5 linked regions of the Macaca mulatta genome follow. The protein of the gene in region 3 purifies or fractionates together with the protein of the main gene of each other region. This does not show direct contact. Links are inferred from orthologs where the notes say so. Each region holds a gene or a part of one and is shown on either strand. Other genes may lie near its edges. The genes, in order: FKBP5, COPS3, STK11, CDC37 and PIP4K2A.

Region 1 (4,545 bases), on a different chromosome or scaffold from region 3:
TATACTTATGCAAAGTAGGCAAACATAAATGGACAAGTAGTCTCATTAGATTATTGTTGGTAATATATGCATCAATAGGAGATTGTTGTATTATACACCCAATAATGTTTTTCCTTTATCAAATACATATTATGTGCCAGGCACCATGCCGTGCATTTGATGTGTTTTGTCTAATAATTCTTAAAACAACTGAAAACATATGGCAAGTACTGTTATTATCTACATTTTGCAGGTGAGGAGACTGCAGCACAGAGATTAAGTAACTTGCACAAGTTTACACAGATAGTAAAAGGCAAACTTGGTATTTAAATCCAGGTAGTCTGAGGTTAGAGTATGCTGCATTTTTGACCTCTAAAATGTACATCCTCCTTTCTACTGTTGGAGAAAGAGGATGAAGATATATATTAAATGAAAAAGTAGTTTAGAACTGAATGTCTAGGTCACTGTCATTTGTGTTTTAAATTTTTTTAAAAAGGTACAGCACACAGTAGGATACCAAAGAAACAAAACAGTGACTTATAAGGAACAAATGGATGGCCTTTCTGCTTTGACTTTCCATCTCTTTCATGGGTGTTTTAATAATAGGCATGTATTACTTGAATAATTTTTTTTTTTTTTTTGTAAGAGACAGGGTCTCGCTGTGTCACCTAGGCTGGAGTGCAGTGACATAATCATTGCTCACTGTAGCCTCTTACTCGTGGGCTCAAGCTATTCTCCTGTCTTAACCTCCAAAGTATCTGGAACTACAAGCATGTGCCACCATGCTGCACTAATTTTTTAAATTTTTGTAGAGAAGGAGTTTCACTGTGTTGCCCTGGCCGGTCTTAAAACTCTTGGGCTCAAGTGGATGCTCCCACTTGGCCTCCCAAAATGCTGAGATTACAGGTATGAGCCACTGTTCCTGGCCACTTAACATATATTTTTAACTGAAATAAATGTAGCTTACATTTGGAAAAGTTGTAATATTTAATGAAGATTAAGCTAAAATCATGAATGACAAATGGTTTATCCATCCCTGCTTACATACGGTTATGTAGGGTTTCACTTGTCCTAATATCCTACCACCAGCTCACTTCAAATTCACTTCCTCTGGGGTTCATCTCTTATCTGATCCCACTTTGAATACTTACATTTTTGTTTTTGTTTTTTGAGACAGGACAGGGTCTCACTCTGCTGCCCAGGCTGGAGTGCAGTGGCATGATCTCAGCTCACTGAAACCTCGACCTCCTGGGCTCAAGCAATCCTCCCTCTTCAGCCTCCTGAGTAGCTGGCAAGCACCACCACGCCTGGCTCATTTTTTCAATATTTTTTTGTGGAGATGGGGTTTCACCATGTTGCCTGGGCTGGTCTCAAACTCCTGAGCTCAAGAGATCTGCCCACCTTGGCCTCCCAAAGTGCTGGGATTACAGGCGTGAGCCAACGTGCCCAACCCCCAGATACTTAATGTTTTTGATTAACAAAGTACCTCATTTGTAATGTAGCCTTTTTTTTTTTTTTTTTTTTTTTTTTGGGACAGTGTCTTGCCGTGTTGCCCAGGCTGGAGTGCAGTGGCATGATCTCTACTCACTGCAACCTCTGCCTTCCAGGTTCAAGTGATTCTCCTCCCTCAGCCTCCCAAGTAGTTGGGATTACAGGCACATACCACCATGCCTGGCTAATTTTTGTATTTTTAGTAGAGACGGGGTTTCACCATGTTGGCCAGGCTGGTCTTGAACTCCTGGCCTCAAGTGATCCACCCGCCTTGGCCTCCTAAAGTGCCAGGATTACAGGCGTGAGCCACTATGCCCCACCAAAATGTAATTAGCCTTTTAAATTGCCTGAATTTTCTATTGTTTCCCAAAGGACTTGATACTGCTTACAGTAAGATAATGATGCACATCATAGGAACTGTAAACATTGAGATTACAATTATATAGCCTAATATAGTCCTACAATTGAGCAGTAAATTTAACTTAGTTTCCTGGAAGTAGGCAAAAAATAAAACATTTTAAGTTCTGTAGTTGTGGTTTGACAAAAAGACACATACGTTTTTGTTTAAAGAAACCTTTTTCTGATTCTAAATTTCGAGAAGAAATGTGTTTCATAGACCCTTTTATGCAATTTATATTGTTCTGGTTACTTCTTGTTTTGTTTTGTTTTGTTTTTGTCTACCCAACTAAATTACAAGCTTCCTTAGGACAAACTCTATTTTTCAATACTATTTTTGTTCTATCTTTGCCTAGAAAATGTGTGCTTATTATAGTTGAAATGATAAATTAAGCAACAGTTGCAACACAGCCATATTTCATGGATAATGTTACCACCAGTTTTCAAAGACTTAATTTTTGAGTAGTTTAGGAATTTATACTACTTTCATCCCTTTCAGCAGGGAATCCTTTTTGAGACAGGTCTCACTGTCACCCAGCCTAGAGTGCAGTGGCATAATCTTGACTCACTGAAGCCTCAACCTCCTGGGCTCCCGGGCTTAAGCAGTCCTCCCACCACAGCCTCTGGAGTAGCTGGGACTATAGGTGTGCACCACTATACCCAGCTGTGTTCCTTGGGGGTTTTTTTTGTTGTTTTTTTTTAAGAGATGAGGTCTTGCTATGTTGCCCAGGCTGGTCTCAAACTCCTGGACTCAAGCGATCCTCCCACATCAGCCTCCCAAAGTGCTGGGCCGATCAACAGGGAATCTTTTATGATAGCCTTGAAATAAATAAATATTTATTTATTTGTATGTAGCACTCGGTCATCTTGTAGCCCATACTTTCTAGCTGAATATGTAGTATGAAAAACTGGAAATTTGAACTTTTGTTTAATGAAAGTTAAATATTTTTAAATAGGGCTGATAGCTTTCAACTACCTTTTCCTTTCTCTTAGGCCAAGTTATCAAGGCATGGGACATTGGGGTGGCTACCATGAAGAAAGGAGAGATATGCCATTTACTGTGCAAACCAGAATATGCATATGGCTCAGCTGGCAGTCTCCCTAAAATTCCCTCGAATGCAACTCTCTTTTTTGAGGCAAGTATGTGTGTGATGTTGCCTTGTCAGCATCTGCTCTACAATAGGAATGGCTTTGAAGCAACAGGCAGTGGGAAAAGGAGCTATAGAGAATCACATCCAACTTACTTATTTTGGAGCATGGCTTCTTGGATTGTTTCCCACAAACCCAAGGGTGCACGTGCCAGTGCTTTTTGAGAAACGTATTTCCACCACAAAAAGGTCATATCCAAATACGCAAAAGACACTACACTTAGAAATAAAGAATCTGGTCCATGGTGTGAGTGTGACATACTCAAAATTGACCAGAATGCAGGATGGAAATGTTGGCAATAAATGTTGAAATATGCCTATGTCAAGTTGCAGGGTATTTTCATATTATAAAGGTTTATATGTCACAGATCTCACTTCTCTAGAAGTGTTTGATGGTGATAAAACATTATTCAACCTGTGTTGAAATTACATATATTTGGCAAAACTTGATTTTTAAGAACTACCCCAGCTAGGTAAAATATACCTTTAATCAGTCATAGGCCACATTCATGAAATTTATGTTTACATTTTGAGAAGGGAACTCCATAAATCCAGGGTGGGAAAGTTGTGGCCTCAGACAAACTGTTCTACACCAGCACCTTGTAAAGCTCTGGGTTTTTGCCCACAGGGTAGTGTTCCTAGTATTTCCTGTCTCTGCACCGCAGTCCCTTAGGATATAGTCCTAGACATTATCATTATGTGAAATTCTTTCCAAGTATGGAAAAGTATAGTGGGTTTTTTTTTTTTTTTTTTTGCTACTTTTCCAATAATTAAGATGCATAAATGAATGTATACATTTTGAAACAGCTTTATTTTGTAAAATGAAATAATTGGTTGCCCTTGCCTTCACATATGTTAAATTGGCTTTATTTGGTCTTTTCTCATCTGAATTCCTTTTTTCTTTCTAGATTGAGCTCCTTGATTTCAAAGGAGAGGACTTATTTGAAGATGGAGGCATTATCCGGAGAACCAAACGGAAAGGAGAGGGATATTCAAATCCAAACGAAGGAGCAACAGTAGAAAGTAAGTATTAAAGTAAGAGGGAACTAGTCCTTAAAAGTTGGACCATTTATGTGGACGAAATGGAGACTTAAAAAAAATATGTTTATGGAAATGAACATATCGGCTGGGCGTGGTGACTCACGCCTTTAATCCCAGCACTTTGGGAGGTGGAGGCGGGCGGATTGCCTGAGCTCAGGAGTTTGAGACCAGCCTGGCCAGCATGGCGAAACCCCATCTCTACTAAAAATACAAAAAACTAGCCAGACGTGGTGGTGCATGCCTGTAATCCCAGCTCCTTGGGAGACTGATGCACAAGAATCACTTGAACCGGGGAGGTGGGGGTTGCAGTGAGCCAAGATGGTGCTACTGCACTCCAGCCTGGGTGACAGAGCGAGACTCTGCCTCAGAAAAAAAAAAAGTATTGAATATATCTCAAAGATAGTCTTAGCTGGGCACAGTGGCTCACGCCTGTAATTCCAGCACTTTGGGAGGCTAAGGCAGGAGGATCTCTTGAGCTTAGGAATGCGGC
Region 2 (4,545 bases), on a different chromosome or scaffold from region 3:
CATATAGAGAACTATGCATTTTATATAATATGTATTGGGCTGGTTGCTGTTTCACTAACTGGCATCTATCCCTTCCAGAGCTAGAGAGGAGTAGGCCAGCAGTTTCACTGCTAACAAATGGACAAGTGATTATCACCGTGTGGAACATCTTGTTAGAAATTAAATACCTGTTTGGCACTTTTATTGGTATCTCACTTTTTGACTTCATGGGCAAGATTTGGCTTTGAGGATCAGTCAAATAAATCCCCAGTAACTGATGCAAATAAATGATATATAGACCTTGAATCTATCTTGGAATCCCCAGTGGTAGTGAAGTTATCTTGAAGAATCAGAGGACAGTTTCCACTGGGATAAAATGAAAACCTGTCAGGCTTTACTTTTTAAAGTACAGTGGCCCAGCCTGGCCAACATGGCAAAACTTCATCTCTACTAAAAGTACAAAAAATTAGCTGGGCATGGTGGCATGCACCTGTAGTCCCAGCTACTTAGGAGGCTGAGGCAGGAGAATCCCCTGAACCCAGCAGGTGGAGGTTGCAGTGAGCAGAGATCGAGCCACTGTACTCCAGCCTGGGCGACACAGCGAGACCCCATCTCAAAAACAAAAGGCAATGTAAATTATATCTCAGTGCAGTTGATGTTGAAAAATGCAAGGGCACCTCAAACACATCATGCTAAGGGAAGCCAGACCACAAAAGATTACATAGTGTATGATTCCATTCATATATCCAGAAAAGGCAAATCCATAAGAGACAAGAACAGATTGGTGGTTTCCAGGGACTGGGAGGAAGAGGAGGGAATGGGGAGGGACTGCTGATGGGCCTAGGACCTCTTTCTGGGGTGATGAAAACGCTTCAGAACTAGAGATGGTGGTTGCACAACATTGTAGAATGCATTCAGTGCCAATTAATTGCTCACTTTAAAATGGTAGGCCAGGCGTGGTGGCCCATGCCTGTAATCCCAGCATTTTGGGAGGCCAGGGCGGGTGGATCACTTGAGGTTAAGAGTTCAAAACCAGCCTGGCCAACATGGTGAAATCCCGTGTCTATTAAAAATAGAGGCCAAGGCGGGTGGATCACTTGAGGTTAAGAGTTCAAAACCAGCCTGGCCAACATGGTGAATCCCATGTCTATTAAAAATACAAAGAAATGGCCAGGCGCGGTGGCTCATGCCTGTAATCCCAGCACTTGGGGAGGCCGAGGTGGGTGGATCACCTGAGGTCGGGAGTTCAAGACCAGCCTGATCAACATGGAGAAACCCCATCTCTACTAAAAATACAAAATTAGCCAGGCGTGGTGGCGCATGCCTGTAACCCCAGCTACTCGGGAGGCTGAGGTAGGAGAATCGCTTGAACCCAGGACGCGGAGGTTGCAGTGAGTGAAGATTACGCCATTGCACTCCAGCCTGGGCAACAAGAGCGAAACTCCATCTCAAAAAAAACCAGAAGACAAAAAAATTAGCCTGGCATGGTGACAGGCACCTATAATTCCAGTTACTTGGGAGGCTGAGGCAGGAGAATTGCTTGAACCCGGGAGGCAGAGGTTGCAGTGAGCTGAGAACGCACCACTGCACTCAGCCTGGGGGAAAGAGCGAGCCTCCATCTCAAATAAATAAATTAAATTAAATGGTTAATTATGTTGTGTGAACCTCACCTCAATAACAAAAATGCAGGGGCAGGGATTTTGTGTGTGTGTATCAGTTTTACACCTCTTAGCATCGATAATGCTGCCTAGCAAATAGTAGGTATTTAATAAATACTTGGATAAACATGGCACTTAAAAATATACAAGTTTATTTATATCCATGTTGCCTTCTATGCTTCTCTCTGATTATACTGGATGACTATTCATATAGCATTCAGATCTAAACTGCTTTCCTGTTTTGTTTTGTTTTTTTTTTTGTAGATAGAAGATGGTGAGATTTTTGCAAGTATTAACCAGAAGGATGGTATGGTCAGTTTCCATGATAACCCTGAAAAATATAATAACCCAGCCATGCTTCATAATATTGATCAGGAGGTAAACATGAATGCCAGGTTTTTATTTTTTTAATTGATGGTCGAGATGTATTTGAAATACTGCTTCTATGTTCCAGGATAATTTTAGTTTTAAGTACAGGTAGTTCCCAGTCTATGAACATCTTAGTTACTAGAAAGTTAATTTCAAAATGGGCTGCTTAAGGACAATCGCTTGAACCCTGGAGATGGGGGTTACAGTGAGCCAAGATTGTGCCACCGCACTCCAGCTTGGGTGACAGAGCAAGACTCTGTCTCAAGAAAAGCAACAACAACAAAATAAACCCAGAATGGGCTGCTTAAAACTCTTCCAGGCTGGGTGTGGTGGCTCACGCCTATAATACCAACACTTTGGGAGGCTCAGGTGGGTGGATCACCTAGGTCAGGAGTTCAAGACCAGCCTGGCCAACATGGCAAAACCCTGTCTCTACTAAAAAAGAATAAAAAATGAGCTGGGTGTTGTGGTTTGTGCCTGTAATCCCAGCTACTCTGGAGGCTGAGGCAGGAAAATCTCTTGGAACCTGGGAGGCAGATGTTGCAGTAAGCTGAGATCGTGCCACTGCACTCCAGCCTAGGCAACAGAGGGAGACTGTCTCAAAAATCAAAACTCTCCCAGATTGTATGGCTATAAATAAATGGTGGGTTAGATATCCCAGCTAGCTTATCAAAACCTCCCTTAACTCTGAAAACACTTAAAGGCCCTAGTATAACTTTATCTATTCACAGCTGCCACTTAAAACATAGAGCCTTGTGTTTTTGCTGAAATGTCTGGAGTTCCAGGTTGGGAGATCAGGAAACATCTCTGGAGCTATGTGAGAAGCAGAGCCGGGGTGGCTGGAGGAGAAGAGCAAAGCCCTCCCTGACAGTCCCCTTCAGGCAACACTGGGCTGCAGCCTGTCTCCTGAGGGCATGCTGTCCTGATTCTGGCGGCTGAAGGGGGCGTTTTGTGGGTGGTCTCTGTTTTTTACCTCTGAGCAGTGAACTGAACTGAATATTAAATCTCAGAAAACTTTTTTTAAAACAATTTGATCGCAAAATGTCACCTGAAATGGTGTCTAGTCTTCATTTTGATCTCAGTGTGAATATACTCCAGTTTCCCTGCAAAAGATACTATGTGTTTGATTATGAGGTTTGCCTAGATCCTGCTGGGTGGGATGTTGGGTATTATATGGTACATGTATTAGCTTTCTGAGTCCAAAATACGCTGGCTCCAAAACCCATGTGGCCCCAGGGGTTTCATGTCAAGAGATTGTGAACCTACAGCGCCCTTGTGAACAGTCGAAGTTAGAAAGGATGCAGCTGACCTAAACCTGCTGCTGACCACCTTCTAATGTGCCTGTCATGCAGATGCTGAAGTGCATAGAGCTGGATGAGCGGCTGAAAGCCATGGACCAGGAGATCACAGTGAACCCTCAGTTTGTACAAAAGGTGATGAGGGTTCCCCTTGTTATAAGAAGTAGGCTGGGTGGAGAAGGAGGGGCGTTGTCACATCAGGCACAGGAATTAAGTTTCAGGTTACTAAATATTTCTTGAAACCCTTACCAGTACGGTCATGGAGAAATACTAGTTGAGAGCATTTTCAAACAATGGCCTGGAAGTACACTTAGGGATGCTTAGGGTGGTTCCTGGAATTGCCTGCCCTTGTTCACAGGGTGGCTTTGTTCTGGGAGGGACAGGGTAACTGGTGTGCTTATTGGGCTGCTGGGGAACCCTCGATAAAAGCAAACATAAATACATAACTTCACTTTCCCTTTACAGAGTATGGGCTCACAAGAAGATGATTCAGGAAACAAACCATCCAGTTATTCTTGAAACTAACATCCATCCTGAGCTAAACAAGAGAAACTACCATCTTGGCCAGTGGCAAGTGTTCGGAGGGCAGCAGAGAGGACCAAGCCTGTGTCACCTGGAGACTAAGAAATTAAGTTTTGTTTTGACATCTTCAGTCCTATGTGCTTTCAGAAAACCATTCTCTCTGCAAAGAAAGGAAACAGATTTGCAAACTTTAAAGTCTGTCGTGGATTTATTTATCCTCAGATTATTGTTATTGCATTAAATCTACCTTTTTGTTTTAAGTTGCTTGAACATTAATGTTTCTTCTGCATCACTTTTTTGTCCTCTGAAAAGTTTTTAATAAGTACATTCATTGTGAACAGAAATAGTTGGATTTTAGGAATTTTTGGAAGATTTGAATCTGAAAGTTGTTTTATTCATTGACAAATTTGTATCTTAAAAAAATATAAAAGTTGTCATCAGTGTCTTCAGAAAATAAAAAGAAAAAAAGTCCAGACAGACAGACATAGTGGCTCCCACCTGTAATATCCTAGCACTTTGGGAAGCCGAGGCAGGATTGCTTGAGGCCAGGAATTCAGACCACCTTGGTGAACATAGTGAGACCCTGTCTCTATTTACGAAAAAAAAAAAGAAAACAAAGGATAGCGTCCCTGAGGCATAAGTTAATTTTTAAAATTAAAATTAACATGCATATTAGTAAGAATATGAGTTGTGGATTATGAGATGCCATTGGTGCTTCA
Region 3 (4,545 bases):
AAGAGAAGCAGAAAATATATCCTTTCTGGTGTTGGGGCCGCGGGGCCTCCGTGGGAGGGGCTGGGGCCCTGGGTCCGCCTGCCCCGAGGCCTGCTCCCCTTCCTGTCTACTTGAAGGAGACTGGCACACAAAGGCAGTGGCCTTCCCTGGCTTCCTGGAAGTCAACCATTGTGGCAGCAGCTGAGCAGCTGCTGAAACGGGCCCCGAGCCCCGGCCCCTGTGTCCTGTGTCCTGTGTGCTGGAGCCATGGGGTGTCAAGACCCTATTTTCTCATAGTCTTCTCCAAGGCTAACCGGGATGTGGCCAGGGTCTGCCTGAGGCAGGCCACGCAGGCTGAATGTTGTGGGCCATTTTGGTCGTGGCTGAGCGTGTCCTTGTGTCATCGGTAGACTCCCCCCATGGGTCTTACGGGCACAGCTTCCCTACGGGGACTTTGCTTGAGGCCCTGTGCCCAGAGCAAGAGCAGAAGTGGTCCTGAGGCTGGGGCTGTGTTCAGAGTCACGCAGTCAGGGGCCGTGGGCCCCATCCTGTGTGGACCCGAGCCTGCTTGTGGGGGCGTCCAGGAGGTATCATCCCCCGCCCATGGGCGGGGTGGGGGACGTGAGTCCCGCAGGAACACTGCCCCAAGAGTCAGCCCTGTCCTCCACTCCCATGGAGGCTCCTTCCTCCCAGACGCTGGGGCCTTTTCAGAGGGGTGTGAGGGCAGGGTGGGCCCTGGTCCGAGGAGGGGCAGGGTGGGCCCTGGTCCGAGGAGGGGCAGAGTGGTTGCGGAGGGTCCCTCCAGAACCCCTTCTCTGGCCCCTGTGCTCTCCGGGCCTGTGAGTGGGGCCGCCCCCTGAGCTGTGTGTCCTTAGCATCCCACGTATATGGTGATGGAGTACTGCGTGTGTGGCATGCAGGAGATGCTGGACAGCGTGCCAGAGAAGCGTTTCCCGGTGTGCCAGGCCCACGGGTGTGTGCGCGGGGCAGGGGCTGGGGTGAAGCAGGGGCTGGGGGCCGGGCAGGGCAGGCTCCTTTCCCTGTGGCCACACGGCTTGTCCTGATCTTCATTGACATGAAGGCCCAAGTTTTTTATTTTTTTTGTTTTATTTTTTTTGAGACGGAGTCTCGCGCTCTGTCGCCCAGGCTGGAGTGCAGTGGCCGGATCTCAGCCCACTGCAAGCTCCGCCTCCCAGGTTTACGCCATTCTCCTACCTCAGCCTCCTGAGTAGCTGGGACTACAGGCGCCCGCCACCTCGCCCGGCTAGTTTTTTTGTATTTTTTAGTAGAGACGGGGTTTCACCGTGTTAGCCAGGATGGTCTCGATCTCCTGACCTTGTGATCCGCCCGTCTCGGCCTCCCAAAGTGCTGGGATTACAGGCTTGAGCCACCGCGCCCGGCCTTTTTTTTTTTTTTTTTTTTTGAGACGGAGTCTCACTCTGTCGCCCAGACTGGAGTGCAGTGGTGCGATCTCTGCTCACTGCCAGCTCCGCCTCCCTGGTTCACACCATTCACCTGCCTCAGCCTCCCGAGTAGCTGGGACCATGGTGCCCGCCACCACGACTGGCTAATTTTTTGTATTTTTAGTAGAGATGGGGTTTCACCGTGTTAGCCAGGATGGTCTCGATCTCCTGACCTCATGGTCCACCCGCCTTGGCCTCCCAAAGTGCTGGGATTACAGGCGTGAGCCACCACGCCCCGCCCTGTGAAGGCCCAAGTTTTTAAAAACAGTTTTGGGGACTCCTGTGTGTGGTATCCACGGGCAGGGCTGCTGTCAACCTCCTGCCTCCATCTTTGCTGGGCCTGCTGCCTGAGGCCGGCAGCTCACCCCATCCCGTCCCAGCAGCCACCTGCCCCGACCGGACCTCCTGGTACAGATCTGTTGGCTGCAGAGTCAGGGCCCCTTGCTGCTGCAGGACTGCAGGGGCAGGGAGGGGCCTGCTGTTTCAGCAAGCCTTTGGGGTGCAGCCGGCCTGTGGCCCACAGGGAAATGAGACCTGTGGACATCCGGGGCCCTGCCAGACGTGACTCGGCCGGATGAGGGTGGTCACTGCAGGCGCAGGCCTGGCTCCCTACTGGACCCAGCTTTTCCTCTGTCCTGTGTGCCTGGACCTCCGTGACTCCCCAGCTGGGCCTGTGGTGGTTGGGAGGCTCCCAGGCGGCTGCAAAGGGGACCCCTGTGAGGAACAGGGAGGCCTCGGTCCCAAGACAGGTGTGTGCTGCCCGCAGGTACTTCTGTCAGCTGATTGACGGCCTGGAGTACCTGCACAGCCAGGGCATCGTGCACAAGGACATCAAGCCCGGGAACCTGCTGCTCACCACCGGGGGCACCCTCAAAATTTCCGACCTGGGCGTGGCCGAGGTAGGCACGTGCTAGGGGGGGCCCTGGGGCGCCCCCTCCCGGGCACTCCCTGAGGGCTGCACGGCACTGCCACAGGCACTGCACCCGTTCGCGGCGGACGACACCTGCCGGACCAGCCAGGGCTCCCCGGCTTTCCAGCCACCCGAGATTGCCAACGGCCTGGACACCTTCTCCGGCTTCAAGGTGGACATCTGGTCAGCTGGGGTCACCCTGTAAGTGCCCCGGCCCCGCCCCGGCACTCGCCACACGCACAGCCCGGAGGGGCCTCTGCATCTTGGGCAGCTTCTGGCCTGTGGGTGCAGGGCGTAGCCACCAGCCTAGACCCTCGCTGACCACAGCCACTGGGGGTGCTTACTTTATGGAGACGTAGCTCACACGGCAGATGGTGGTTCACCCATGTGACATGCAGCCTAGCCTGTCAGGGATCTTCACAGAGTGTCACAACCAATCCTCCTCTCAGAGCCCCACAGGAAAGCTGGGCGGGTGAGAGTGGCTCCAGGCCCCTCCCCGGGTGGGTCCAGAGGACGCTCCTCTCTTGCCCCATGGCTTCCACTAGTGGGAGGCGGTGAAGACAGAGGTGTCCTTGAGTCCGCAGGGCCTGTGGTCCAGCAGCCACGCGAGGGCTCCGTCCCTGGGGCAGAGGTGGGGCTCCCGGGGCGTCGACCACCTTGACTGACCACACCTTTCTTCCCTCCCCTCGAATGAAGCTACAACATCACCACGGGTCTGTACCCCTTCGAAGGGGACAACATCTACAAGCTGTTTGAGAACATTGGGAAGGGGAGCTACGCCATCCCGGGTGACTGTGGCCCCCCGCTCTCCGACCTGCTGAAAGGTGGGGGCCTCGTCCCTCTGCCCACAGCCCCAGGGAGGCGGGGCTTTTGTGCAGAAATGCAGGGTGGGGGGTGTTAGGTGGGGGGCTATTGGCCCTGAGACCCCTGCAGGCACTGAGAGGACTGAGCGGAGAGGCCGGCCTCCCACTAGGGCCTGGTTTGTGGGTCCCTCAGCTCCACCCTGCTTCTGGGCCCTGTTCACCTTTCAACTCCCACCCCTGAGGGCAGTGCTGCCCTGCGCCTCCCCCAGCCCCGCCCTCGGGGGCTCCCTGGCCTGTGTCAGGCTCGTCCTGCTGCACTTCCTGTGTGTGGGCAGCAGGTGGCACTGGCCGTCTGTCCGTCTGCCCAGTGGCCTTGGGAGAATGGAACTGCCCTGCCTGTCCAGCCCAGCCCTGTCTCCCAGGCAGGCACGCAGAGGCTGTCCCTGGCCTGTCCCCTGGAGTCGCCTCTGTCAGGGAGGCCATCTCAAGGGGGCCCCCCTTGGGAGCATCCAGGTATCACCTGGGGCCTGACAACAGAGGCTGGTCAGGTGGGGATGATTGGTGGGGTCTCGGGCCTGTGCCTGGCTGACTGGCTCCTCGCCGGCTTCTCCTCAGGGATGCTTGAGTACGAGCCGGCCAAGAGGTTCTCCATCCGGCAGATCCGGCAGCACAGGTGAGCGGCCCCTGGGGGCAGTGGGGCCAAGACCACAGGGAGGCTGGCCACGTGTGCAGCTGGTTGAGTGGGCACCAGAGCAGGGCATGGTGGGGGTGCTGGGCTGGGGCCAGACCCCGTGCAGCGCCCGCAGTTCTCAGGGCCCAAGTGGGGTCTCTGGGCAGTGCCCTGTTAGTGGCCAGACAGGCCTTGTCTGAGCTGGGGTCTGAGTGAGGACGTGCATCCGTCTCTGCCCTAGGCATAGAGACACACCGGGAAAGGCACAGCTGGCCCTGAACGCTGGCGAGAGCCCCTCTTTTTACCCTCCTCCTGGGGCTCCCAGCAGCACGGTCTGGTTGGGATCCAGCCAAGGGCACCCAGCTCTGTGACAGGGAAGACAGCAGGCCCCGCAGTGCGACCTCCCTCGCCTCGTGGGCTCTGCTCCTCTGCACCAGCCCCTGGGGTCGCTCGAGCCCCGAGGCCCCCCAGAGACCAGCTCTGGGAGTGGGAGTGTCCGGACCCCTGAGGCGCTGGTGCCGATCGTCCCTTGGGGATCTCTGCGTAGCTCAGGGGCAGCTGGGAACCGGGCGGGTGCTGGGGCTGCCCCCATAGGCTCCTGGGTTAGGATGTATTCATGGCCCCCCAGACCCCCTTCTGGCCTTTGCTGACGTCCGTCTGGTGGGTGCTGGCTTCTGAGTGCCACCTGGGAGACAGGCCTGAGGCTGGGCGTGGCGGGGG
Region 4 (5,019 bases), about 9.2 Mb from region 3:
GGTGGGTGGATCGCCTGAACTCAGGAGTGTGAGACAAGCCTGGGCAACATGGTGAAACCCTGTCTCTACCAAAAATACAAAAATCAACCAGGAATGGTGGTGTGCACCTATGGTCCCAGCTACTCAGGAGGCAGAAATAGGAGGATCACTTGAGCCCGGAAGGTGGAAGTTGCAGTGAGCCGAGATGGCACCACTGCACTCCAGCCTGGGTGACAAAGCAAGACCCTGTCTCAAAAAAAAAAAAAAAAAAACAAAAAACAAACAAATCAAAATTAAAAAAAAGAAAAAAGAAAGACAGACAAGGTCTTGCTATGTTGCTCAGGCTGGACTTGAACTTCTGGGCTCAAATGATCCTTCTGCCTCAGCCTCCTGAGTAGCTAGGACTATAGGCATGTGTCCCCACATGTGGCTGTGGAAGTTTTTTTTAACCATTCACAAAAATTATTTAAATGATGATGACGGTAATAGCTACTGCCCCAAAAGGATTACAAATATTAAACGAATAAGGTAACCCTTACAACAACCCTATGGGGTGGACATCATTCAGATTCTCAGGTGCTCAGGCACAGAGCAATCAAACAATTCCCTGGCACTCACGCAGCATGTGAGTGATACACAGAGCTGAGATTTGAACCTAGTCAGGCCTGTGCTCAGAACCACAGCGATCTCTCCTTCCCCTCCACAATGCTTCCTTCCAAACCTGCCCCAAGTTTTCCTGCCCAGTCTTAATTTATTCTTACAAAAGTCTCAGGGAGGTGGGGTCATAGTATCCCAGGTTTCATACGGGATCAGGGAGGCCTGAGTCTTGCCACATCAAAGAAAGAAAGAAGCAGCAAGAGGCAGGACTAGGATTGGAACGCAAGCTTGCCTGTCCTTGAACCTGTGCTGGAGACGCTGAAGCCCCCTGCCTCCCTTACGTGCCACTACAACCACCGGGTTCTCAGCGGTAGGACAGGAAAAGCTCCGTGCCAGAGGGAGGAGGGTGTGGCAGGTACACTACGCTGCAGGAGGGGGGCCCTCCCACTCGGCAGGACCAAACCATTCTCCACAGTAGTAAAGATTAACCTCTTTATGTGACAGAAATAGGTCTTCCCAAGAATAGTCTTTGGAGCTTTGTGGAAGTCTTAAATATTTCATAATAAAATGTTACACACGGCAAGAAATAGAAGCGCTAGAACTTTCTTCCCACACTCCAGTGGCTTGCTTGGCAGGTACACTACCCAGGAGACTCAGGATTTAAGGAAGAGGTCTGGAGGTGGGACTGGGAGCTAGATAAAGAGACTAATGCCGTATTCTGGAGTATTCCAAAATGATGGGGAAGGGAACTTCTAGTTGTTTCTTGGATAAATGATGGGGAGTTGTCCTATGAGAGGGTGGGGTAAGAGATCCTCACTAGAAGGTTCTGAAAGGTATATGCCCTTAGTTTAAGAGTACAACATGGCTGGGTGCAGTGGCTCACGCCTGTAATCCCAGCACTCTGGGAGGCCGAGGTGGGTGGATCGCCTGAGGTCAGGAGTTCGAGACCAGCCTGACCAACATGGAGAAACCCCCGTCTCTACTAAAGGTACAAAACTAGCCAGGCGTGGTGCCGCATGCCTGTAATCCCAGCTATTCAGGAGGCTGAGGCAGGAGAATTGCTTGAACCCGGGAAGCAGAGGTTGCAGTGAGCCAAGATTGTGCCACTGAACTCCAGCCTGGGCGACAAGAAGGAAACTCCATCTCAAAAAAAAAAAGAGTACAACAGACACTGATATGTGATTTGGGGTAGCAGGAGGTTAAACCTTTAAGTCTTAGTCACCCCATTGGCTTGTGAGCACTGAGGGGGTGGTAGGACATGGATCACTCAGACTTGGGATTCTGGGGTCTGGATTTGGGGGTTCTGTTGTGGTCCGATAGAAGAAGGGGTAGTGAATTTAGAATCAGACCAGGAGTCCCTGGAAAAGAGCAGGGACAATTTGGGTCACAGAGTAGCGATCAGGTTGGGGATACAAGGTGGGGTGGGTTTGGGGTCCTGGGCTTGAGTTAGGGGAGTTTCCAATGCTGGCCAAGGCTCATACAGGAAGCCAGTCTGGGAGGTGGGTGGTGACAGGGTCTGCAATACCAAGTAGGGGCAGGGGCTCTGGCTGGGCCGGAAGCCACGTGGGCAGGATTTCCTGGTCTAATGGGAAATGGGTCTACCCGAGGCCAAAGGAGAGGCTGGAATGTGAGGCTCTGTCGGGGTGGAGCTGGTAGTTAGATCCAGAGGGGAACCAGGTTCCACAACCGAAGTCCTCGGTGAGACTAAGGATCCTGAAGGGGGACGGCTCTACACTCTAGGAAGGGGGTCCCGGGTGTGGGCAGGGACAGGAATATCAGAGTAGCACAGAGTTCCTTGTACCGTTTAGAAAAGGAGTGGCGACTCCGGATCTGAATGGGAACCCCGGATCAAGATCCCGGAAAGTAGATCCCAGGACAGACCAAAGTATTGGGGGTCCAGACTACGGAGGTGGGGGAGGGCGACGTGAGATCCCAGATAGGGAGTGGATACCCGAATAGGATGAGGGATCATCTAGAAGAATTTGGGGACCAAACTTTGAGGCAGAGTTCTGGGTGTAAATGTTAACTCCGAACAGAATTAGGGAGACTCGTCTAAGGGAGTCCAGACTGAAGAAGTTCTAGGGGGTGAATAGGGAATCCCACGCAAAAATCGGAGCAGGGGGTTGGGGGGAGATCCCGAGCAAGGACTCAGGGTACCAGTGGTACTGGGGTCCTGGAGTTGAATCGAGGCTCCTGAAAGTCCAGACTGAGGGGGTGAGAATCCTAGGTGTGAACAGTGGGGTCCCTAGGCAGTATCGGGGACCACAACTCTGGAGCGGGGTCCGGGAGTGGGGAAAGGGATGGGCGCGCGCGCCTTACCTGATGCCGCCAGCGGAAGAGGCTGGCCGTGTCGATGTTGGGGTGCGTCTCGTCTTCATCATCAGACACCTCAATGTGGTCCCACACGCTGTAGTCCACCATCTTGCCTTGGCGGCCCAGCCCGCTACGGCTCGGTTGGCGGCGACGGCGGCGGCGCTGGAGACTTGGTGCGCGGAGCCCCGCCCCTTCCGCTTCCGCCCGAGTGCGGGGGAAACCCCGCCCATGCCTGACGTCACATCCCTAGTAACCGCGGCAGCGGCACTGGCTACCCATTCTGCCTTAAAGGGCCTTGCGCAAGCGTTCCAGTCCCCTGGAGTTCCCGCAGAGACTCCACCTTATCGGGCGCAGGGGCTCCGCTAGGTCTCCTGGGGGCATACGAGTGGGCACTTCAACTCCTAGCCCCCCTCATCTCCCGCCTCTCCACGGTGGGCGTTTGGGGTGGCAGGGAGAGGACGGTTGATGAGACTAAGAGGACTGTCCCCTCAGCTACGCCGCAGTGACGTCTGCAAGGGGTACGGACACGGCGGGAAGGCCCTCCCCCTGCCCTTCGTAAACGGGGACCTAAGCCTGCTCTGGAGAGGGGCGCCTGACGACTCCTGGGACTTTCTCAGCCCGAGGAGGACTGGACCTGCCCTGGGGGTGTCTAAATCGAGGGTGGTATGGCCCTCCCCTTGAGGGGTTAAACATAGAGGGGAGATTGTGGCTCTGCCTTGGGAGCCTTCTCCTCGTCCTCCAGCTCCGGCCATTAGCAGCAAGGACTCGCGCGCGCGCACATACACACACACACACACACACACACACACACTTTGGAATCACCCGGACCCCCCATAACGGGTCTCGGCGCCCCACCCCGCGTGACCGCTGGGTGTCGCTAGAGTCTAGCCTACGGCGCGTATTCCTGGTCCCGCGCTTGGTGGGGGAATCTTGGAGGGGTGGAAGGGGGCTTTCCTTTTCGTCACAGTCTGGGGTCACGCATAGTCCCTCCCCGTTTGTCTGGGGGTACCCTTCCTCCGCCGGGGCTCTAAGGACTCCATTACTCTAAGCATGCAGGGCCCTGGCCTCACACTTCCACGCATCCCAATCCGCGCTTTTATACCAGGATAATAGGCCGCGTTGCAGTCTCGGGCCAGGATTATTTTAGATTAAAGGGTGCTCCATCGGGGGTCAGGCTGGATAGGAGGAGCTCCAGCCACTCGGGTGAGGGGCGCCTCTTCCCAGTCTCCCCTGGAGCCGACGTCGCAGGCGGTGCCCGGAGAGAGCGAGCGAAAGTCTCCAGATGGGGGGAATTCCCCAGTGCATGGAGGGGGAGGGGCCATCGGACAAAAACGCCCTCCCGCTGCCGCCCCTCCCCCTCGCGCTTCATTCAAACCCGCGAGTGGGCGGCCAGGGGCGGAGGAGTCCCCATCTCCTCCCCCTCCCTCTTCACCTCTACCCTGGCAGTCCAGCACATCAGTGGCTGTCACGGCCCGGGCACGCGCGCGCACGGACCCACACCCCGGCGGCTCTCACAATCGCACACACACATACACACACACCAGCAAACAAAGGGTCTGGACACCCCCGTCCCCTCCCGCCCCCCAGGCCAGAGAGGGCGGGGCATCCCCTCCCCAGCCCCCCCGCAAGGTAAGCTTGGGGCTGCGAGCTGCGGTGGGGAGGGGGACCCGGTGCCATGGTGGGAGGGGGCCAGGACTGTAGGGAGTTCCCCGGCTCCCCAAGAAAGCCATACCCCCACCCCCACCGTATGCCCTTCAGGGCTTCGGCCCGGTCAGCAGCATGGGGGTGTTGGGAGAGAATCCGAGATGTCAGGGATTCCCGGATCGGCGCGGGGGTCTCTTCCTGGCTCTGGAGACTGGAGCTGCCCAGCTTCAGCAAAACAGCGTTCCCGGAGCCTCAGCTTCCAGAACCGGGGATAGGGCGCCGGAAGCTTCCCCATCAACGCCGAGCATTTCCTAATCTGCCAGCACAGCACCTCCAGCCCTGGGGACTGAGGAGAGAGACCCCTAAGTTGCTTTGCACTGTCGCTCTGTCCCCGGTCCCTACCCCACCCCCCATCGGTGCAAACCCTGCTATGTGTCTCCTGCCTGTGATGTGGATGGGGGGGGGTTGCGGGAATTGGGAACGTTT
Region 5 (4,545 bases), on a different chromosome or scaffold from region 3:
TATCCATTTCCAAAGATATGAACAGTAAGAAAAGTACATTTGACTAATTTTCTGTGTTGAAGAAAACATTTTGGTGAGCAAAACAGAAACAGAACAAAACAGAACTCACATCCTCAGCTGATATGCCATTTGAGATAAAAAAAAAAACCGATGAGCCACAGTTTTTATTATTCAAAAAACAAGAAACTGTTTTTATCCTATCACGAAAATATTTTGGTTTTGTCATGGATCAGTTGCTAAGGTAGGATGTAATATTCAAATAACTGGTGCACCCAATCACCTGGATACGGTGGATTAAGATTTATCTGACTCTAGGGAAGAGGCCACAGGCCTGCCAACTGGGGAGGACGGCAGAGCCAGTCTAGGCAGCAAATCAGATTCCCACCCCACACACACGGCCCAGCTTCACACACCCTTCACATCCCTGAGAGGGAGCGCGCTGGTGGTGATGACAAGAGGACAACCTAAGGGTCACAGAGGACCACATGTGTGTTCCTTAGATTCATGATGCTTTTGACTTAGATAAAAAAGATAACTAAGCAAAAATGTATTAGTATTTTAAAGCATTTCTGGTGTTTGTGTATGGGTGCATATGAACATGTGTTGTATGCCAGTGTGTATGTGCATATGTACAGGTGTGTTGTATATGTATAGTATAGTTTGTGGTTTTGCTGTTTCCCTCAACATCACAGAATTCAAAGGTCCAATTGCCTTATGTTTCATCACTGAGATCACGGTTACCTTTAACATATTCTTGTCCTCAAATCCATTTCTTTGGAGTTTGGAGGATGAGTGCTGCCGGACAGCACCCTCATAACTGGGGTAGTGATTCCTGGTAGATGACAAGGCCAAAGTCAAACCACTTCACATGAAAAAGGGTCCACAGTAATCAAACTTACTTTCATGGCACTTAATTCCATAGACGTCGATGTTCGGATCGAACTCCCCGGGAGCCAGGGGTGGTGAGCTGTTCAGTGTATTCCCGGGGCTATCTGGGGGGGTCCCCACCGGGTGGGTGCCGTCGCTCTCACCCTCCTCCTCCCCGTCGTTCTCCTCACACTCCACTTCCTCCTGTTCAGCTCTCTCCACATCGTGAATTCCCACCAGCAGACTATAGTCCATGAGCTTCAGCTGGGCCAGAAACTGGGGACAGAGGAGACAGGGTCAGTCAGCCACACCTTAAACATAAAAGTCAACGTTTAAAAAAAGGAGACAAGCTCGGGTGACACCCAGAGGGAAGGCTGCGGAGTGGGGCAGCAGAGGCGCCCGGTGCCTCCTTTATGGATGTTCTTACACTCCGGAGTGGAGCCTCACACTTCAGGCTGGCTCAGAGCTCGGGCCATTTTCCCTGGAATGCCACACTGGAGGCGGAGAGGCGTGGATCTATCACAGGGTGGCTGGGTTTCACCAGAGAGCAGGAAGCATGACCAGTGAGAGATGCAGAGAGAGACTGGGAGGGAGAGCAAGTTCCTTCCAACAATTAAGACAGGCTAAGGGGGAAACCCAGGCACCTCCCAAGTAGCTTCCAGCGGAGTCTCTTGCTGTGGTTCGGGAAAGCACCTTGGAATTCAGCACACTCTGCGGCTGCGGAAGCGATCGTTACGCTGTTGCAAATAAGTAAAAGCAAAGGCACTGTGTCCACCTCTGGTGAGCAATGCAGTCCTGTCCGGGTCAACAAGGTGCTTTCCACCAGGCCCCACACACCCAGGATTCCTGTCCTCCCTCTCCTCCTCCAGCCGCGGCTACAACATAATGTGGGGGCAAGACCCAGCTCTGTGTGTTTGGCTACTCCTGTCTGCCCAGTTCTTTTTTGACTTTTCAGATCACGATTTCTTTTTGTTTCCCTTTTCTGATTTGAGACCTTCAGCACAACGTTCCAATAATGCCATAAAATGTGGACGGTTATGCTGACTGAAAACAGTGGCAGCCCATCTGTGGGCTGGACCCAACTGGCTCCCCTGGCCCCGTGGCTGGCTGGCTCTGCACAGGGTCCTGTTCCACTGTGACCTTGGGCTCGGGGTCCAAGAAGGTTCACGGTCCTGGCTCTGGAAGGACTCAGCGCCACCTCACTAGGGAATGCAGAGTGGCTGAGCAGCCTCTGGGCTACGCTGATAGAATTTAGGAAGCAAATGTCCTCATGCAAAGGGCAAGCAGAGAAAATCACAGGTCTTGAAGTTCTGGCTAAAAATGAAATCAATTTGTTGAGCCCCGCAGAGCCATTTCTCCTCAGCCTGCTGGGAAGGAGTTTTGTCTCGAAACTGAATGAGAAGCCCTGATTCCTTACAGATGAGGAGAGGACCCCTGGGCACAGGTCTGTCCCACTCTCCAGCTGGTTCCCAGTGCCTGCAATTCTCCATCAGCCAGCATCCCGCTCAGCCCCGCAAACTGGCCAGAGCTCCCACTTTGCAGCCTTCCCACCAGGAATCCCCCGGGGCCAGCTACATCTTCCCCATTTGTTCCGAGCTCAGAAAATAGAAATTATACAAATCTTACACTCAAATATTTAAGCAAAGTGGGAGAAACCTGTTTGTTTAAAAAGAGAGGCAAACCCCTCGTGGAAACAGCATGGGGCTCCTGCGTTCAGCTTTCTGGGGCCCAGAGAGGAGAGGAAGCCACCGCTCATCCCCCTGGCCTTTCCCCAAACTCCCCCATTACAGTAAACATGAGAACCAACTTTCCACTTGCACCTCCCTCTGCCAGATTCCTTTCCAGCATCCTGCTCTAGAATCTCGGCAGCTGCCAGGCTGTGGGGAGAAATCTGCAGTGGTGGAAGGCTCACTTGAGTCCTCCACCAGCGCGGTGAAGCCAGCCAGGGAGCTGGGTCTCGGGTACAGCTCCGCTGTATATGGGCCTGTGGATTGGAAGAGAACTGGGCACTCCAGGGTATAGAGACAGGTGACAAGATCCAAGGCAGGGGGCAGGCTCTCCGTGTGAGACAGCAGCCAGATTCAGCAGCTGGACGAGAGTGCAAGGATTCAAATCCAAGGAGGGGTGAATTCAGGGCCCGTTCTGAGCCCGCACTCTCTGCTCTGTATCAGCTACTTCTGGAGGCTGCCTGAAAGCAGCTTTCCCCTCTCCTTTCGCAACCCTAGGAGGAAGGTAATGAGTTAAAATCAGCTGGCATCGGAGGAGGCCCTCCACACGTGACTCGGCGCTGTGGGTCTCTGGACTACCGGTTAGGTGGTCAGCAGCAGCACGCCTGGCACCGCTGTGATCATGGAACCTGCTTCCCCGTCCCTGTCAGAATGCCCTGCGGGCCTGGGGTTTCAGAAGCCTATTTGGAAAATACTGCAGCGTAAGTACCCAGTCTTCTCCAACGCTTGAGGGGTGTGTGTGGGGGGCACTCATGGTGGGCCCACTTCTCCCTGCCCTGTTGTTCCAAGGCCTCTGGGCTCCTGGAGGACTAGGCCAGGGTCTCCTTCGCCACCTCCGCTGCCCCTCCCAAGCCTAGCATGGTGCCTGGCTCTGCTCCCTGGATCTACGGCTTCCCTGGCCTCCCTCCCTACACCTGGAAGCCTCTCTGGAGCCAGGCCAGGCCTTGCTCAGCTTGAGCAGTGACAGGGAAGAGGCCCCCCCTCCTGTCCATCCCTGCTCCCTCTGGGTGCTTGGAAGGTCCCTGTGAAGTGGCAAAGGCTGACTGGTGCCTCAACCTCCCCTCCAGTCCTCTGCAAAGGGCACAAGTTTTCAAAATGTGAACCTGATCACATCCTGTTCTGCTTAAGACATTTCCATAGTGCCACGTTTCTCACGGGGCACAAACAAAACTCACATGGTCCAGAAGGCCTGGATAGCTTGGCCCCATCCACATCTGGAGCCCACTTGAGCCCTGCTCTGCCCGCTTCCTGGGCTTCTTCCCTGTGGGCAGGTACTTCCTCCTGTGCCTTCAGGCCTAGCGGCAGGGCACCACACAGAGCAGCACAGCCCCGGAGTCTGGGTGTTTAGGGCACCGTACACTCCCTCCCCAGAGGCACATGGCCTCGTTGCACATTCACTTTGCTGGAGTATTTGAAAACTTCTCTCTTTCCCAAGCAAGGCAGCCTCTCAAAAGGGGCTCTAAAGTTTTGGCTTTCACTGCATTCCCGACTCCCAGCAGGCAGAGGGCTCAGGAAAGTATGCGGCACTTGTTGGACAAGAGAATAGGCTGCCTGCTACTTTATCCCTATCTGTCCCCCCAGCTCTCCCTAACTGTCCCCAACCTGCTTCCACCAGGAAATAACTACTAAAGGCAAATACAAACAACAAAGCAACAACAGAAAACCTTTCTGAGGCTGCATGAGGCAACATCTCTCGGAAGGAAGCGCAAGGCGACCATTTAATACGCTTCCCTTAAGAGGAAGGTCTACGGGCTGACCTTCAAGTGTGTTTTAGTTACAGAAGTCGGGGCTGTCTGCGATTAATTTGCCAAAGGGCAGGGAGGGAAGGGGACAACTGGGATTGAAAAGCCGCACTCACCATGGTGAGCCTTCAGGGCTCAGCCTCCCCTGGCACCCCATCTGGGCTCCTCGCCACACTGGGCAGCCCAGAGTAATTTTCCTGGGCCTCAGG

Evidence for each region.
Region 1: the proteins of STK11 (region 3) and FKBP5 purify together in Homo sapiens (affinity purification with mass spectrometry; 8 studies listed by BioGRID and IntAct, counting the BioPlex papers as one, with this or other methods). This does not show direct contact. The link is inferred for Macaca mulatta from reciprocal best matches to the Homo sapiens genes STK11 and FKBP5.
Region 2: the proteins of STK11 (region 3) and COPS3 purify together in Homo sapiens (affinity purification with mass spectrometry; 5 studies listed by BioGRID and IntAct, with this or other methods). This does not show direct contact. The link is inferred for Macaca mulatta from reciprocal best matches to the Homo sapiens genes STK11 and COPS3.
Region 4: the proteins of STK11 (region 3) and CDC37 purify together in Homo sapiens (affinity purification with mass spectrometry; 8 studies listed by BioGRID and IntAct, with this or other methods). This does not show direct contact. The link is inferred for Macaca mulatta from reciprocal best matches to the Homo sapiens genes STK11 and CDC37.
Region 5: the proteins of STK11 (region 3) and PIP4K2A purify together in Homo sapiens (affinity purification with mass spectrometry; 3 studies listed by BioGRID and IntAct, counting the BioPlex papers as one, with this or other methods). This does not show direct contact. The link is inferred for Macaca mulatta from reciprocal best matches to the Homo sapiens genes STK11 and PIP4K2A.

The regions. Positions count from the first base shown.
Region 1 is NC_133409.1:146,648,911-146,653,455, forward strand, and holds part of FKBP5 (peptidyl-prolyl cis-trans isomerase FKBP5), read left to right. Parts: intron 1-2,859; coding exon 2,860-3,002; intron 3,003-3,922; coding exon 3,923-4,037; intron 4,038-4,545. UniProt on the Homo sapiens protein: Immunophilin protein with PPIase and co-chaperone activities. Component of unligated steroid receptors heterocomplexes through interaction with heat-shock protein 90 (HSP90).
Region 2 is NC_133421.1:18,800,418-18,804,962, reverse strand, and holds the end of COPS3 (COP9 signalosome complex subunit 3), read left to right. Parts: intron 1-1,901; coding exon 1,902-2,015; intron 2,016-3,358; coding exon 3,359-3,439; intron 3,440-3,769; coding exon 3,770-3,823; 3' UTR 3,824-4,086; downstream 4,087-4,545. UniProt on the Homo sapiens protein: Component of the COP9 signalosome complex (CSN), a complex involved in various cellular and developmental processes.
Region 3 is NC_133424.1:1,890,069-1,894,613, forward strand, and holds part of STK11 (serine/threonine-protein kinase STK11), read left to right. Parts: coding exon 1-16; intron 17-862; coding exon 863-952; intron 953-2,208; coding exon 2,209-2,341; intron 2,342-2,416; coding exon 2,417-2,553; intron 2,554-3,048; coding exon 3,049-3,176; intron 3,177-3,770; coding exon 3,771-3,828; intron 3,829-4,545. UniProt on the Homo sapiens protein: Tumor suppressor serine/threonine-protein kinase that controls the activity of AMP-activated protein kinase (AMPK) family members, thereby playing a role in various processes such as cell metabolism, cell polarity, apoptosis and DNA damage response.
Region 4 is NC_133424.1:11,129,518-11,134,536, forward strand, and holds the start of CDC37 (hsp90 co-chaperone Cdc37), read right to left. Parts: upstream 3,062-5,019; 5' UTR 2,998-3,061; coding exon 2,896-2,997; intron 1,714-2,895; exon of another isoform or gene 1,491-1,713; intron 2-1,490; exon of another isoform or gene 1-1. UniProt on the Homo sapiens protein: Co-chaperone that binds to numerous kinases and promotes their interaction with the Hsp90 complex, resulting in stabilization and promotion of their activity. Inhibits HSP90AA1 ATPase activity.
Region 5 is NC_133414.1:23,998,646-24,003,190, forward strand, and holds part of PIP4K2A (phosphatidylinositol 5-phosphate 4-kinase type-2 alpha), read right to left. Parts: exon of another isoform or gene 2,071-4,545; intron 2,040-2,070; exon of another isoform or gene 1,846-2,039; intron 1,144-1,845; coding exon 900-1,143; intron 1-899. UniProt on the Homo sapiens protein: Catalyzes the phosphorylation of phosphatidylinositol 5-phosphate (PtdIns5P) on the fourth hydroxyl of the myo-inositol ring, to form phosphatidylinositol 4,5-bisphosphate (PtdIns(4,5)P2). Has both ATP- and GTP-dependent kinase activities.